Linked DNA regions of Drosophila melanogaster. The protein of the gene in region 2 interacts with the protein of the main gene of each other region in a biochemical or structural test. Each region holds a gene or a part of one and is shown on either strand. Other genes may lie near its edges.

Region 1 (9,995 bases), on a different chromosome or scaffold from region 2:
TTGACTTTCTCGGTCGACGTCGCTGCTTTAGTTATCGCATGAAAAGCGATTTTTCCAGCGTAATAACGGTCGCGTGGCGAATTCAGTTCGTTTCCGGCGATCGACAAGGAAACACCTATAAAAACCAATTTAAAAAAAAAACCCCTCGCCATGTCCAAGGGATCGGTGTTGCCACAATATATTGCTGGCTTGTCGGCCAGCTTTGGTGCCCTCTGCATGGGCGCCTCCATTGGTTGGTCCTCGCCCGTGGAGAATATGATAACGGTGAACACGGAATACGGCTTTCCCATTAGCTCCAGTCAGTTCGGCTGGGTATCCTCGCTGCTGACCCTGGGCGCCACTGTGATCTGCATTCCCATTGGTTTCGCCATCGATTGGATCGGCAGGAGACCCACTATGTTAGCCCTAATTCCACCGTACATGGTGGGCTGGGTGCTGATGCTGTTCGCCAAAAACGTGACCATGCTCTACTTCGGACGATTCATTCTTGGCATGTGCGGCGGAGCCTTTTGCGTAACAGCTCCCATGTACTGTACAGAGATTACGGCGACAGCACTACGAGGCACCATCGGATCCTTTTTCCAGCTGCTGATTGTGTCGGGCGTGCTGTACGGCTATTTGGTGGGCGCCTTCCTGCCCCTGCTCACCATCAATATCCTGTGCGCTATTCTGCCCGTAATCTTTGCTATCATACACTTCTTCATGCCGGAGTCACCCGTCTACCTGGCCATGAAGGGACGCAACGATGATGCCGCCAAGGCCTTGCAGTGGCTGCGCGGCAAGGATGCCGATATCGATGACGAGCTCAAGGAGATCCTGGAGGAGTCCCAGAAGCAGATTGATATGCCACAGGTTAGTTAACATTCCACTAATAATCAATCAATCAATCAAAATCGATCGATATTGAAGGCATAAAGAAACTTTATAAAGGGTTCGCAGGGCTTTAACAGATTTATTACTCTTTCCATTATCACACAATCGGAAGTGATACATACATATACTTACCCTGATAAAAGAAATGTTGTAAATTCAGATAGTATATAATATTTTGTTTTCATTCATTAAGATTTTCAATAACTTGAACCAAGATAGGGTTTGCATTAAACTTAAACGATTTCGTAGTTAAACTACATATGAACACAGGTACGTAATTTGTTTCCATTATTCCATTTAGTAATCAGTGTAGCAGATACTACTTATCATACCTAATAAATACATTGATTTTGGTGAAGATTAGAAAATAATACGTGGTCTTATTTTTATTGCAGGTCAACATTCTGTCCTCCCTTCGTCGACCCATCGTCCTGAAGGGTCTTGGAATCGCTGTGCTCCTGCAGGTCTTCCAGCAGTGGACGGGAATCAACGCCGTTCTCTTCTACTCCGCCTCCATTTTCGAGGATACGGGCTCTGACATAAGTGGCAGCGATGCCACGCTTATCATTGGAGTCACCCAAGTGACCAGCACGCTGGTTGCCGTGGCCATTATCGACAAGGCTGGCCGTCGCATCCTGCTCCTTATCTCTGGCGTTCTGATGGCCGTGTCCACTGCACTGATGGGCGTGTACTTTCAGCTAAAGGAGAACGATCCGGCTTCAATGGACAATTTCGGTTGGTTGCCGATCAGCAGTATCTGCATTTTCATAATCTTCTTCTCGATTGGATTCGGACCGGTGCCGTGGCTGGTGATGGCGGAACTCTTCTCGGAGGATGTGAAGAGTGTGGCAGGATCGATTGCCGGCACCAGCAACTGGCTGTCGGCCTTCGTGGTCACGCTGCTCTTCCCAATCCTCAAGAGCTCGATCGGGCCGGGTCCGACCTTTTGGATCTTTACCGCGATCGCGGTCATCGCCTTCTTCTACTCTCTGTTCTTCGTGCCGGAGACCAAGGGCAAGACAATAATCGAAATCCAGGACCTGCTGTCCGGAGGAAAGGGTGTCAAAAGTGATGACAAGAGCCAGACGTGATGATGTCGCGTAGTCTTAGTCGTAGCGATACTTTTTCATATTCTCCTTAAGCCAATAAGAAAATGTTATGTATAAGAAGTGAAGAGCATAATCAATAAAGTAGAATCACCATGTATATAAACTACCCGATTGAATTTTCGTTCATTTCCGTCAGTGTAGTTCTAATTAGACTCAATTAGTATAATTCTAATTAGTTTGACAAGATTTTAAGTCTTGGAAAAAAATGAGGAAATAAGAAACTTTACTCGTATGGAGGAGGGCTGCAAACGAAGGTCTAAATGATCTAAGGATAGTATGGGTCAAAAAGTGATGTGATATATTCTTAACAATTGGTATTGATTAAGAATTCAAATAATAAATAATTCACGAACTTACACTACCGAAAATGCTTATTATTTTGTTGCAGATTTCGATAAAAATGGAAACGTTTATTATTTCCGGAAGGTATATTATTGGCAGCGAGCATTTCAAAACAAATTTATTTATGTTGCGGTTTGTGGTAATAATTTAAGTTCAAAGAACCGCACTGCGTAGTGTGACCAGTCCGTTTTGAAACACAATTCTTAATACGTTTGACACAAGGCATCTTATAAGAGCCGCTGGCCACTCTGTCACCGGCTTCTTTGTTCTTTAATCGTAAATTATTTGACTTCAAATTGTAATATCAAAATATCCCGAAGACTCTGTAACCAAGAGCGAAGATATGGAAGATGTGGAAATCAAGGTAAAATGAATTGGCTTGCGCTCTCGCTTATTGCAAAATAATTAACAAAATCCTTTCCAGCCTCGCGGCTATCAACTTCGCCTGGTTGACCACCTAACGAAGAGCAATGGCATTGTCTACCTGCCCACAGGATCTGGGAAAACGTTCGTGGCCATCCTGGTCCTAAAGCGCTTCTCGCAGGACTTTGACAAGTTAGTAGCGAATGGATATACATATATATATTATTATATGTATTACCTATATCCGATACTTACATTTATATATATATTATTATATGTAATACCTATATCGGATTCCGATTTGTTTACACAGACCCATCGAAAGCGGCGGAAAGCGTGCGTTGTTCATGTGCAATACTGTGGAATTGGCCCGACAACAGGCGATGGCCGTCAGGCGGTGCACCAACTTTAAGGTTGGCTTTTATGTGGGTGAACAGGGAGTGGATGACTGGACGCGCGGAATGTGGAGTGATGAAATCAAAAAAAACCAAGTGAGTATAGGATGGCGGAGGCATTTTTTATATACGCATATGATCACGTACGGACTAAACACTACACTACCACTACACACTGCAATTGCGATCACCACTTGAGTCGAAAAATTTGGGATCAGCATTTTTATGGGCTCGTAAGGGGTCGTGTTTTGCTAAGCCATCACAAAATCATCATTTCGTCAATTGATGTATTTTATTTGTTTTTTTTTTTTTTTGTAGTATGTTTATTTGTTTATTTATTTATTTTATTTGTTTATTTAAAATTAACTTGAGTTTGTGGATTGTTCTGGATCATCGAGTAGTAGATTTGATGGTCATTTTTATTACATTGAATTCATGTTAGACTTTTCAGTGTAATTCGAGGAATATTTATAGTTAATAATAATACACTGCTTCCAGAATTAAACCTACATGTGTAATTTTTGGTTCTTAACAGGTTCTTGTTGGCACAGCCCAGGTCTTTTTGGACATGGTCACCCAGACGTACGTGGCTTTAAGCTCCCTGAGCGTTGTCATCATAGACGAGTGCCACCACGGCACTGGTCACCACCCATTTCGTGAGTTCATGCGATTGTTCACTATCGCTAATCAAACAAAATTGCCGCGCGTGGTGGGTCTCACCGGGGTGTTAATCAAGGGAAATGAAATTACGAACGTGGCCACGAAACTTAAAGAGCTAGAGATCACATATCGGGGAAACATCATTACCGTGTCCGACACCAAGGAGATGGAAAACGTGATGCTGTAAGAGCGGGTGGCATTTTAGCTACAGTTTCCCAACAAGTGCATATTCTTTTCAGGTACGCCACCAAGCCCACAGAGGTCATGGTGTCCTTTCCACATCAAGAGCAAGTGCTCACGGTTACAAGGTTAATAAGCGCAGAAATTGAAAAGTTCTATGTATCCTTAGACCTCATGAATATTGGCGTTCAACCGATCCGAAGGTCAAAGTCATTGCAATGCCTGCGGGATCCGTCGAAGAAGAGCTTTGTAAAGCAACTGTTCAACGATTTTCTGTACCAGATGAAAGAGTATGGCATCTACGCAGCTTCCATAGCCATAATCTCGTTAATTGTTGAGTTCGATATAAAGAGGCGCCAGGCCGAGACGCTAAGCGTGAAATTGATGCATAGGACGGCCTTGACCTTGTGCGAGAAAATCCGTCACTTGCTGGTGCAAAAACTGCAAGACATGACTTATGACGACGACGATGACAACGTAAACACTGAGGAAGTCATTATGAACTTCTCCACCCCGAAAGTGCAGCGATTCCTGATGAGTCTTAAGGTATCCTTCGCTGATAAAGATCCCAAAGATATCTGCTGTCTGGTCTTTGTTGAACGCCGCTACACCTGCAAGTGCATCTATGGCTTGCTGCTCAACTACATCCAGTCTACGCCTGAGCTGCGAAACGTGCTCACGCCCCAATTCATGGTGGGCCGCAACAATATTTCTCCAGACTTTGAGAGCGTCTTGGAGAGAAAATGGCAAAAATCTGTAGGTGTGGAAATTATCGTTAATTGCTGATATTTTTCAAAATATGCTCTTACCGTCTCGCAGGCCATTCAGCAGTTTCGGGACGGTAATGCCAATCTTATGATATGTTCAAGCGTCCTAGAAGAAGGCATCGATGTGCAGGCCTGCAATCATGTCTTTATTCTTGATCCTGTTAAAACCTTTAACATGTACGTGCAGTCAAAGGGTCGGGCTCGTACCACTGAGGCCAAATTCGTGCTGTTCACAGCTGATAAGGAAAGGGAAAAGACAATTCAGCAAATTTATCAGTATCGAAAAGCGCATAATGACATTGCCGAATATTTAAAGGATCGAGTTCTAGAAAAAACTGAGCCAGAATTGTACGAAATCAAAGGGCACTTCCAGGACGATATTGACCCTTTTACCAATGAGAACGGTGCCGTGTTGCTTCCCAACAATGCCCTGGCCATACTGCATCGCTATTGCCAGACAATTCCCACGGATGCTTTTGGCTTTGTGATCCCCTGGTTCCATGTATTGCAAGAAGACGAACGTGATAGAATATTTGGTGTTTCTGCCAAGGGCAAGCACGTAATTTCAATCAACATGCCAGTAAATTGCATGCTAAGAGACACAATTTACGTAAGCTAGAGATTCAGATTGAAAATGGCAAAATCAAATAGAGTTAATTGCTTTCATTTCTTTCAGAGCGATCCCATGGACAATGTTAAAACAGCCAAAATATCAGCTGCCTTCAAAGCGTGTAAAGTACTCTACAGTTTGGGAGAGTTAAACGAGAGATTCGTGCCCAAAACATTAAAGGAGCGCGTAGCCTCTATTGCTGATGTTCATTTTGAGCACTGGAATAAGTATGGCGATAGTGGTGGGTTCACAAGAACTCGCATAAGATATGTTTACTTATATTAATCTTTCAACCATAGTGACTGCGACAGTCAACAAGGCCGATAAGAGCAAGGACAGAACCTACAAGACCGAATGTCCATTAGAGTTTTACGACGCACTTCCGCGGGTAGGTGAAATCTGTTATGCCTACGAAATATTTTTGGAGCCGCAGTTTGAATCGTGTGAGTACACGGAACACATGTATTTAAATCTCCAAACACCAAGAAATTATGCTATATTGCTGCGGAACAAGCTGCCACGCCTTGCAGAGATGCCCCTGTTTAGCAATCAGGGTAAGCTACACGTTCGAGTGGCCAATGCACCACTTGAAGTAATTATCCAGAACTCCGAACAGCTGGAGCTGCTCCATCAGTTTCACGGAATGGTATTCCGCGATATCTTGAAGATTTGGCATCCGTTCTTTGTGCTGGATCGTCGCAGCAAGGAGAACTCCTACCTGGTAGTTCCTCTCATACTGGGTGCGGGTGAACAGAAATGCTTTGACTGGGAACTGATGACCAACTTCCGAAGACTACCGCAAAGTCATGGGTCAAATGTACAGCAACGCGAGCAACAACCTGCTCCACGTCCTGAAGATTTTGAGGGCAAAATTGTTACACAATGGTATGCCAACTATGATAAGCCCATGCTGGTCACAAAGGTGCACCGTGAGCTAACACCGTTAAGTTATATGGAAAAGAACCAACAGGACAAGACCTACTACGAGTTTACCATGTCAAAGTACGGCAACCGCATTGGTGATGTTGTTCACAAGGATAAGTTTATGATCGAGGTCAGAGACCTTACGGAACAGCTCACTTTCTACGTTCATAATCGTGGAAAGTTCAACGCGAAGAGCAAGGCTAAGATGAAAGTTATTTTGATTCCGGAGCTATGCTTCAATTTTAACTTTCCTGGGGATTTATGGCTTAAGTTGATCTTCCTACCCAGCATTTTAAACCGCATGTACTTCCTTCTCCACGCAGAGGCCTTACGTAAGCGATTTAATACGTATTTAAACCTCCATCTGCTGCCTTTTAATGGAACTGATTACATGCCCAGACCACTAGAAATTGATTATTCGCTAAAGCGGAATGTCGACCCCTTGGGCAATGTCATACCAACTGAGGATATCGAGGAGCCGAAATCCCTTTTAGAGCCAATGCCCACAAAGTCCATTGAGGCGTCCGTGGCCAATCTTGAAATAACAGAATTCGAAAATCCCTGGCAAAAGTATATGGAGCCGGTTGATCTGTCGCGAAATCTTTTGAGTACGTATCCCGTAGAGCTGGACTACTACTATCATTTTAGCGTTGGTAATGTATGTGAGATGAATGAGATGGATTTTGAAGATAAGGAATACTGGGCAAAAAATCAGTTCCATATGCCCACGGGTAATATCTATGGCAACAGAACTCCGGCCAAGACTAACGCAAACGTGCCAGCTTTGATGCCGTCGAAACCGACTGTCCGCGGGAAGGTAAAACCACTGCTCATTTTGCAAAAAACTGTTTCCAAAGAACATATAACGCCAGCGGAGCAGGGCGAGTTTTTGGCTGCAATCACTGCCTCGAGCGCAGCGGATGTTTTCGACATGGAACGCCTTGAGATTCTGGGCGATTCCTTCTTAAAACTTAGTGCCACGCTCTACTTGGCCAGCAAGTATTCGGATTGGAATGAGGGCACTCTTACAGAGGTCAAATCCAAGCTTGTGTCTAATCGTAACCTGTTGTTCTGCCTCATCGACGCGGACATTCCCAAAACGCTCAACACCATTCAGTTTACGCCTAGATACACATGGCTTCCACCTGGCATCAGTTTGCCCCACAATGTTCTAGCCTTGTGGCGAGAAAATCCGGAATTCGCAAAGATTATTGGCCCACACAATCTCCGTGACTTGGCTCTCGGCGATGAGGAGTCCCTGGTGAAGGGCAACTGCAGCGATATCAACTACAACCGCTTCGTGGAGGGATGTCGAGCAAATGGGCAGTCCTTTTATGCCGGTGCCGATTTTTCATCCGAGGTGAACTTCTGCGTGGGACTGGTCACGATTCCCAACAAGGTGATAGCCGATACCCTTGAGGCGCTATTGGGCGTAATCGTTAAGAACTACGGATTGCAGCATGCCTTCAAGATGCTAGAGTACTTCAAGATTTGCCGTGCGGATATTGACAAGCCGCTTACTCAGTTACTGAACCTCGAACTGGGCGGCAAGAAAATGCGGGCGAACGTGAATACTACAGAAATTGACGGCTTTCTCATAAATCACTATTATTTGGAAAAAAATCTTGGCTACACGTTTAAGGATCGACGATATTTGTTGCAGGCCCTCACCCATCCCTCGTATCCCACTAATCGCATCACTGGGTCCTATCAGGAGCTGGAATTTATTGGCGATGCCATACTCGACTTTCTAATCTCTGCCTATATTTTCGAGAACAATACGAAAATGAATCCGGGCGCCCTCACAGATCTGCGTTCCGCTTTGGTCAACAATACTACGCTGGCCTGCATTTGCGTGCGGCATCGGTTGCACTTTTTTATCCTAGCGGAGAACGCAAAGCTCTCCGAGATCATATCCAAATTCGTGAATTTCCAGGAGAGCCAGGGTCACCGGGTTACCAACTATGTGCGCATTCTGCTCGAGGAAGCTGATGTTCAGCCGACTCCGCTGGACTTGGATGACGAATTGGATATGACTGAGTTACCGCATGCAAATAAATGCATTTCTCAGGAAGCAGAGAAAGGAGTCCCACCAAAAGGTGAGTTCAACATGTCCACAAACGTGGATGTGCCAAAGGCGTTGGGGGATGTTCTGGAGGCCCTTATTGCAGCCGTATACCTGGACTGCCGAGATCTCCAACGTACTTGGGAGGTAATTTTCAATCTCTTCGAGCCGGAGCTTCAGGAGTTCACGCGCAAAGTGCCCATCAATCATATACGACAGCTCGTTGAGCACAAGCATGCGAAGCCCGTGTTTAGCTCGCCCATCGTCGAAGGGGAAACTGTAATGGTTAGTTGTCAATTTACCTGCATGGAAAAGACGATCAAGGTGTACGGATTTGGGAGCAATAAGGACCAGGCCAAGCTATCGGCTGCCAAGCACGCCCTTCAGCAGCTAAGCAAATGCGACGCCTAATATGATGATTCCAGCCCAGTCTAGTTTCTGCTAAACTGCATTGAATTTGCTTTCTAGCCAAGACGTAATCCTTTGGAAGAGGACAGCAAAGGGCACCTAATGAACTTAACTGTATATCTTAGAATTAAAAAATACTTTTCCATCGCTTTAATAGACATAAATGTCTAAAACCAAAAAATCATTTTTGATCACCATAAATTGTTAAGACCTTTTAAATCAAAACAAAAACAGCCCATTTGGAAACACAATCTAAAGATGCTATGCCAATTTCCTCAAATACAAACGGTTTTTAATTATTTTTTTATCAATTATTGCCATTTAAAATGTTTTAGCTTCATTGTTATTAATAAAATTTAATAGCTTCCCCAATACAATATTTGTTACCTTGGGTCGAAATAAATATTTTTATACAATTGAATTTATCAATGGGCGTTTTTATTTACCGCGTGCATGCTTCAATGGGATTTACAATCGGCGACGTCGTCAACGGCGTATCGCTACTTATTTACATTAAAAATGCCGAGTGTATTCTGTTCATCCTCTAGATCAGATCCATGTGCTTATAGCCATACATCATTTGTTGCTCGAGGGCTCTAGTGCTTCACGAATTACAAATTATAGTAAGTAACATTTGGGGTTAACCCGAAATCATAGGTTTTCAAAGTGGTAATTGGTTATGTTAAAAAACAAATCGATTAGCATTATGCTTACAATTGGAATGATTAATCTAGCAAGACAAAATACATACTAAAAAAGTGGACACACACAAGTACACAATACAACTAAGGGGTAATCCGAATGCGCATTCCGGTTTGAGATTAAATGGAAATAAATCAGCACAACTTATGCGACTTAAACGCGACAGGTGCAATCCGGCTTATTGATGCTGCGCTGTCGTGTCTGTAAGTTACGGAGAGCAGCTCCGCCGTACTGAATACCGCTGCCGATGCGCTCGGGATCCAGCTCTCCGGTCTCAATTTTGGCCAGTATGGTCTTTGAGCACTTGAGAAAGGCCTCTTCAACATTCTCCCCCGTCTTGGCGCTCGTCTCCAGGAAGATAAGCTCTGCAACGACAAACAGACGTAGAATTACGATAGGAAATTTATGGAGAATCCTAAAAAACAGACCGTTCTCTTGGGCAAAGGTGCTTGCTTCCAGAAAGGTCACATCACGCGCCTCCTCCAAGTCCTTTTTATTGCCCACCAAAAGGATCACAATATTTGGGCTGGCCAGAGTGCGAGCATCATTCAGCCAGTTTGTCAAAGCATTGAAAGAGTCCCGCGAAGTGGCATCGTA
Region 2 (7,513 bases):
GGCGAACGCTTGCCCGTTGCCACCAAGGATATGGGCGCCTGCGAGATTTACCCGCAGACCATTGCTCACAATCCCAACGGTCGTTTCGTCGTTGTATGCGGCGATGGCGAGTACATCATCTACACATCGATGGCCCTGAGAAATAAGGCTTTCGGTTCCGCGCAAGAATTTGTGTGGGCCCTCGAGAGCAACGAGTACGCCATCAGGGAGAACAACGGCACCGTTCGACTCTTTCGCAACTTCAAGGAGCGCAAGAGTTTTACTCCAGAGTACGGAGCCGAGAGCATATACGGTGGCTACTATTTCGGTGTAAAAACCTCATCCGGATTGGCCTTCTATGACTGGGAGACGTTGCAACTGGTGAGGCGCATCGAGGTGCAGCCAAAGAATGTGTTTTGGAACGAAAGTGGCAGTCTGGTCTGCTTGGCCACAGATGACTCCTACTTTGTCCTGGGGGTGGACACTGCCCAGGTTGCCAATGCCGTAGAGACCAAGGAGGGACTGGAGGATGATGGTGTGGAGAGCGCTTTCAATGTGCTGGGTAAGTTGATACCAATTATCTAATATGTATCTTATCTTTAGAATACGTGTCTCAAACACGATTTCTCAAATGAGATTCCGCTTTCAATATTCCTATAGAGAGCATACAACAATGGTTTACTCTGTATTTCACCATGAGAGCAAACTATTTTAAATTTAAATTTAAAAAAATATTTCCATTTACCACATAATAGCAAGAAAGTATAATTGTATTGTATTATGCATTTGTGTTGCAGGCGAGGTTTCGGAGTGCGTCAAAACAGGACTTTGGGTGGGAGACTGCTTCATCTATACCAACTCGGTGAACCGCATCAACTACTACGTGGGCGGCGAGATTGTGACAGTATCCCACTTAGACCGCACAATGTATCTGCTGGGCTACGTGCCCAAGGACAATCGTATTTACCTCGGCGATAAGGAGTTGAACGTGATCAGTTTCTGTCTGCAGCTGTCCGTGCTGGAGTACCAGACGGCGGTTATGCGAAGAGACTTTGAGCGCGCAGACGTTGTGCTACCGACCATTCCCAAGGAGCACCGCACTAGGGTGGCACATTTTCTGGAGAAACAGGGCTTTAAGTCGCAGGCCCTGCAAGTCTCTACCGATGCCGACCATAAGTTTGACTTGGCCTTACAGATCGGAGATTTGGAAATCGCCTTAAAGCTGGCCCGTGAGTCGGAGAACTCCCAGAAGTGGTCACAGCTGGCAGATGTGGCGTCTAGCAAGAACAACATGTCTCTGGTTAAAGAGTGCATGCAGAAGGCAAACGACTTAAGCGGTCTATTGCTGCTCTCAACAGCTTCCGGCGATGCCCAGCTGCTCGAGGTGGTGGGTGCGGCTGGCTCGGCCCAGGGACATCACAATCTAGCTTTCCTCTCGGCGTTCCTTCGTTCAGACGTGGAACGCTGCTTGGAGATTCTCATTGAGACAAATCGGTTGCCAGAGGCAGCGTTCTTTGCCCGCACCTACCTGCCCAGCCAGATGTCAAGGATCGTAGAGCTTTGGCGGGAGAAGCTTGGAAAGGTCAACGAAAAGGCGGGACAGTCGCTGGCCGATCCGGCACAGTATACAAATCTCTTCCCTGGCCTGGGCGATGCGCTGCGGGTGGAGCAGCATTTGCAGGAGGAGCGAGCTCGTAAGGCGCCGGCACGCCTCGCTGCGAATCTACCACTGAATAGCGAACGTCATCCTCTGCAAGAACTATTTGCCGCCGAGCAGGGTGCCGCCGGCCAGCATTTGGAGGAGAAGGTGAAGCCAGCTTACGTTCCCGCTCAAGCTGTTGTTTCTAGCAGCCAGGTGGCCGAGCCTACATCCGCTGCGGATGACGACGACGACCTGGACTTGGAAATAGATGGAATTACGTTGGATGATAACATTGATACGACAGATGTGAACCTCGATGACGATTTTCTAAGCGACGATTAGGACGGAAGATCACAGCCAGATCTAGAATACCATTTAAACTATCGTTTACTGCTACGGGAGTCCCACATTTCGTGCATTTCGAGCCACAGAATTCCGCGCATGCATTCACATTTGATTTGATTGAATGTTGTTTAAATATATATCTATTAATAATATGTACAACAGTAATGGAGCAAACACTGCAATAAATACTTATACAACAATTTCAAATATGGCGCTCACTTCAACTATTTCGATTACATTCTGATATCTTATCGATAAAACTTTTAAACAAACTTACGATCATGCCAGGAGAAATTAAAAATTATTTTTGTTCTTTTTTTTTTTTGAGTTAAATTAGTATTCATGGTCTATTTTATTATATATTTGTACAAAAAAATGTTCTGTACCTGTTACATACATTTATTTCAACATATTTACTCTACGAGTAGGGGGTGTAATAAGTAGGCAATCCAAAAAAAGTCTGGCAACCACAAATATCAGTAAAATACATACAATTCGTGTGTGCGTCTGGATTTTGCTGTATTTTTTATTTAAGAATGAATTATTAACTAACCATTAATAAATTATTATTAAATAAAAAACAGTTAAAACCGCGATTCAAACGTGAGTACTCCCCGAATTTCGGCGAGAGTGTCAACTGGACTTTTCGCCCGCTATTCGTCGGTGATGTATCGATTTTTCAAACAACAATTACCCCGAAATTTTAAACAGATACACACCGAATCCTCCCGAAAACCGTGCAAAACAAGAACACCATGGACCAGGAGAATTTCCACGGCTCCAGCTTGCCGCAGCAGCTACAGAACCTCCACATCCAGCCGCAGCAGGCGTCCCCCAATCCTGTCCAGACGGGATTTGCTCCACGGCGGCACTATAATAACCTTGTCGGCCTGGGCAATGGAAATGCCGTCAGTGGTAGTCCGGTGAAGGGTGCTCCGCTGGGGCAGCGCCATGTGAAGCTCAAGAAGGAGAAGATATCCGCCCAGGTTGCGCAGCTGTCTCAGCCAGGTCAGCTGCAGCTGTCAGATGTTGGTGATCCTGCCTTGGCGGGCGGATCGGGCTTACAAGGTGGAGTCGGCCTTATGGGCGTAATATTGCCCAGCGACGAGGCCTTAAAGTTCGTCAGCGAAACGGACGCCAATGGACTGGCCATGAAGACGCCCGTCAGCATTCTGCAAGAGCTGCTAAGCCGACGAGGAATTACTCCCGGCTATGAACTTGTCCAGATCGAGGGCGCCATACATGAGCCGACCTTCCGGTTTCGCGTGTCCTTTAAAGACAAGGATACGCCCTTCACGGCCATGGGGGCAGGACGATCGAAGAAGGAGGCCAAGCATGCGGCGGCCCGTGCGCTCATCGACAAGCTGATCGGCGCGCAGCTGCCGGAATCGCCTAGCAGCTCCGCTGGTCCGTCGGTGACTGGGCTCACGGTCGCCGGAAGCGGAGGAGACGGCAATGCCAATGCCACAGGCGGAGGAGAGTGAGTTTTTATTCTATTGATGTCTAAGATATGATTCTAAGATATCCAATTTATTGTATTATGTCCTTGCAGTGCCAGCGACAAGACCGTTGGTAATCCGATTGGCTGGTTGCAGGAAATGTGCATGCAACGGCGATGGCCACCGCCGTCGTACGAAACGGAAACGGAAGTGGGTCTTCCCCACGAGCGGCTCTTTACGATCGCCTGCTCGATACTCAACTACCGCGAGATGGGCAAGGGCAAAAGCAAGAAGATAGCCAAGCGCTTGGCCGCCCACCGCATGTGGATGCGTCTGCAGGAGACTCCCATCGATTCGGGCAAAATCAGCGACAGCATCTGCGGCGAGTTGGAGGGCGAAGTGAGTATCATTCAAGACATCGATCGTTACGAGCAAGTCTCTAAAGATTTTGAGTTCATCAAGATCTAACCCACAAGCAATTTTCTAATATTTTTAGTGCAATTATTTTGAATGCAGTCCCATGCTTTAGTTTATAAAATTTTAAAAATTGATTTTATCAAATATATGTCATAAATGTTATATATTATTTAATACGTTTGTCCTCTATCCCTTCTCAAATGTAATGTAGAACGTTTAGAGTAATCCTCAGTTGTAAATATCCCTATAATCTTTTAAATTATGTATCTAGCTAGAGTTTTAGTACTATAGCATCCCTTTTATAGTGTGCTATCTGATATTTTTTATTGTCCTTGTTTTTATAACTAATGTTTTTGACATAATTATACATATAATTAACATAATGCTTACACCTTATTTATATTTCTGGTTTTATTTATGGTTTATATTGGCTTATTTCATTTTTCATTTTTCATATTGTTCCTTGGCATGGTGATTGTTTTAAAGAACGAATCTGTAAAGCACCTTTTCCACACAAAAGTGATATGTTTCAACTCACCATTGGCGTGTGTGATTTCAAATGTGTGCGAAATGCAATGGAGAAAAGAAACCAAAAACTTTGCGCTCTTATTTACAGCCCCGCAGTAGTGAAAATTATTATGGTGAATTGAAAGATATCTCTGTGCCGACACTGACCACGCAGCACAGTAACAAAGTATCCCAGTTCCATAAGACCCTAAAAAATGCAACGGGCAAAAAACTGCTTAAGTTACAGGTAAATTTCAATCCAATAACGCTTTTTATTCAAAAACGATCACAAACATATTTCCAACATTCAAAACCTGCTTTCGAAAGTACATATTTGCCTTAACCCCTCACAATCCTTATAATAATAGTGTTCTTGCTTGAAAGTTCAAAGTTTAATTTGACTCTGCTAATTCGACTCCATTTGTATTTTTTTCAGAAGACTTGCTTGAAGAACAACAAGATTGATTACATCAAGCTGCTGGGCGAAATCGCCACGGAGAACCAGTTCGAGGTGACCTATGTGGACATAGAGGAGAAGACCTTCTCTGGCCAGTTCCAGTGCCTGGTTCAACTGTCCACGCTGCCCGTTGGCGTTTGCCACGGCAGCGGACCAACAGCTGCCGATGCCCAGCGGCATGCCGCCCAGAATGCCCTCGAGTACTTGAAGATCATGACCAAGAAGTAGGGGGTGCAGCCAACTGAATAGCAAAATCTGAACGCACACCACGACCACGATCACGAGTATTTGATGAGAGCGATTACCGAGTGGATACGGGATAACTAATGCACCAGTCTAATTGCTTTTCTTTCCACTTTTTGGCTCAATGCAGTGGCGATGTTACATATATATATATATATATTTTGTTTCTTTTCCACCGATTCCTTTGATTAGGCAGTTGTATTTGTTAACTGCATATGTAAATGTTCATATATGTACTACACTTACCGATGAATGTATGTACGCTTGCAAATACAGACAAGCGTGTAATCGATATTGGAATCTTCTAGTCGCTTTCAAATTCTGAAAAACGTAAAACGGCAGATAAAACTAGGTTTAAGGTAGACTACGTGCTAGTTTGCGAAGGAAAAAGGCTTATGAATATAATCGGTATTTGGTAATCGCTACTTTTGCAGTTTTCTTTTCCTTGGGCTGAAAAACTTTGTAAACTCCGAATTAAAGGGCATTGATGAATTGAAATTAATCAATCCAACTTTAGAAATATTCTGTGAAAACATCTTTTATGATATGGAATTATTTAACTACAAATTAGTTAGGAAATAAATTGACAAATATAATACTGAAGTTATAGTAGCCGTGGCTTTATTTAAATAGGTAATTTTGTGCTTAATCTAAAGTAGTATTCTAAGTAATCATAAAGGATTGCATCTATTTCTTCTTTCTGTCCTGCGTACACTTGGGACAGAACCACTTGCCCTTTGGCTTTGTGGTGAGGCCAACACAAGCGAAGTGAAACCACTCGATGGGACACTAAAATGGTAGAGTGAAAGATCTAGAACTGACCACAGAGTACATCAAAATCGAATACTCACGTCGGGATTGTCGCAGCCAATCATCTCTCCATAGGACACCTGGTGGCATAGGCAATATGTGGGCTCATTGGGATCGACGGGCATGTCCATAACGTCGCTGGGATGAGTGGCGGCCGTGTGGCACGATTCCTTCTCAGAGTCATCAACCTCGACGGTTTTCTAAATGGGTATGTTAGCAAAATGAGTAAGAATGGGGTTTCGACGATAGTGGAGGCGTGCATGTACATAAGTGAAAATGCAAACGATATGGAAAACAGTGGATAATGCAGGATTTCTATGGGGATAATCTATAAAAGTAAAGAGTATTCTATTTAGGGTCAATGAAAACTGGGAAACAGTAAACATACTAAAGTTCTAACAATGTATAGATGAGAATGTGGATGGTTTACCTTTTGAGCGCCCCCCTTGCGAGTTTCTTTTTCTTGATTTACCTTGGACTTTTTCTTTTTGCTACCTTGCCCGGCATTGCTGCTCGAATTGACACTGGAATTGGCGTTAGATTGGTTGTTGCCGCGCCCAGTTTCCTCATCCGAGGATGCGGACTTTTTCTTTTTGCCCGTCGTCTTGCTGTCCTTGGTTTTTTTGCGACCTTCTGTACAAATGGAATCAAAGGAAGGGGTCAGCTTGTGGAAGAATAGATACTTTGGAACAGTCTTACTCTTGGCCACCACTTCCTCGGATTTGGCACGCGTGGATGAGGCCTTCTCCTGAATCTCACCCTCGAAGCGTGCTAAATCGTTGTCCAGTCGCCGTATCTGCTTGTCCACTAGTTCGTAGGTCTGAATGGCCAGCTGCACCTTGTCGTCGCTGTACTCCTTGGCCTTTCCGAACAGTGCCTTGATATCCTCCTGGCGCTCCCTCCTCTCATCCTCGCTCATGGCCCCGTTCTCGCCCAGCTTGCGCATAAAGTCCTTGGCATGGCTATCGATGCTCTTCATCGCTGTTTGTGCTCGATCGTCTAATTTTCGCATCAGCTTAAAATTTCTCTCCAGCTCCGTTGGCAGACTTTCCAATCCTGTTTGTAAATCGTGAATAATATATGTTTTCGAGTGTTTTCCATGCTTAAGAATCTTCTTACCGTCTAAATAGTTCTCTAGGTATATAGCCGATGACATTTTCGGTGTCAAATATCGGATTTAACAAAGAATATGGAGTGTGTAAGCTAAATTCCAGCGTCTGTTTACGATAGCAACAGCTGTATTGTTGTACATGGGATATTTAGGGATGACAGCTCGCTTTTTAAAGTTATCGATTACTTTACAGTGGTTAAAAGCATAACCCAAAACAATTGGGCAGTGCTTAAATTTAAAAATTAAAAGAAAAAATAAAATATTTACATTAAGTAGATTTCGGATCGGATTTTGTGGTAGTTATTTGCTAAATCTTTGAAAAACTTTTAGTTACGACTGCGCAACAGCTGTTTTTAAGTGTGGTTACAACTTTATGATGGTTGGCAACTCTACATCTAGTATAATCACAATCAAAAACACTAATTTGTTTTGATAGCTCATTTTAAAGGTAAATTAAGTTTTGAAAAATGAGCGCCAGTTCCGGAGGATCCTGGATTAATGCCATCTACGATGAGGTAGCTCTGGAGGGTCTGGAGGGAGTGACATTGCCCTGTAAGAGATTT

Evidence for each region. Proteins that work in one complex are often made in the same cells at the same time.
Region 1: the proteins of loqs (region 2) and Dcr-2 form a complex in vitro, tested with the Drosophila melanogaster proteins (one study listed by BioGRID).

The regions. Positions count from the first base shown.
Region 1 is NT_033778.4:17,574,099-17,584,093, reverse strand, and holds Dcr-2 (Dicer-2), read left to right. Parts: upstream 1-2,568; 5' UTR 2,569-2,667; coding exon 2,668-2,688; intron 2,689-2,748; coding exon 2,749-2,879; intron 2,880-3,000; coding exon 3,001-3,178; intron 3,179-3,617; coding exon 3,618-3,925; intron 3,926-3,981; coding exon 3,982-4,678; intron 4,679-4,741; coding exon 4,742-5,299; intron 5,300-5,365; coding exon 5,366-5,540; intron 5,541-5,598; coding exon 5,599-8,699; 3' UTR 8,700-9,115; downstream 9,116-9,995. Other genes in the region: CG6484 (uncharacterized protein), read left to right, coding at 151-852, 1,269-1,964; Rab4, read right to left, coding at 9,552-9,763, 9,827-9,995.
Region 2 is NT_033779.5:13,380,219-13,387,731, forward strand, and holds loqs (loquacious), read left to right. Parts: upstream 1-2,433; 5' UTR 2,434-2,569; intron 2,570-2,677; 5' UTR 2,678-2,721; coding exon 2,722-3,446; intron 3,447-3,518; coding exon 3,519-3,804; coding exon of another isoform or gene 3,805-3,873; exon of another isoform or gene 3,874-3,947; intron 3,948-4,308; coding exon of another isoform or gene 4,309-4,438; coding exon 4,439-4,576; intron 4,577-4,603; exon of another isoform or gene 4,604-4,765; coding exon 4,766-5,014; 3' UTR 5,015-5,453; downstream 5,454-7,513. Other genes in the region: beta'COP (coat protein (coatomer) beta'), read left to right, coding at 1-541, 777-1,963; Ing5 (inhibitor of growth family member 5), read right to left, coding at 5,717-5,818, 5,881-6,039, 6,270-6,472, 6,539-6,895, 6,959-6,995; CG7099 (uncharacterized protein), read left to right, coding at 7,418-7,502.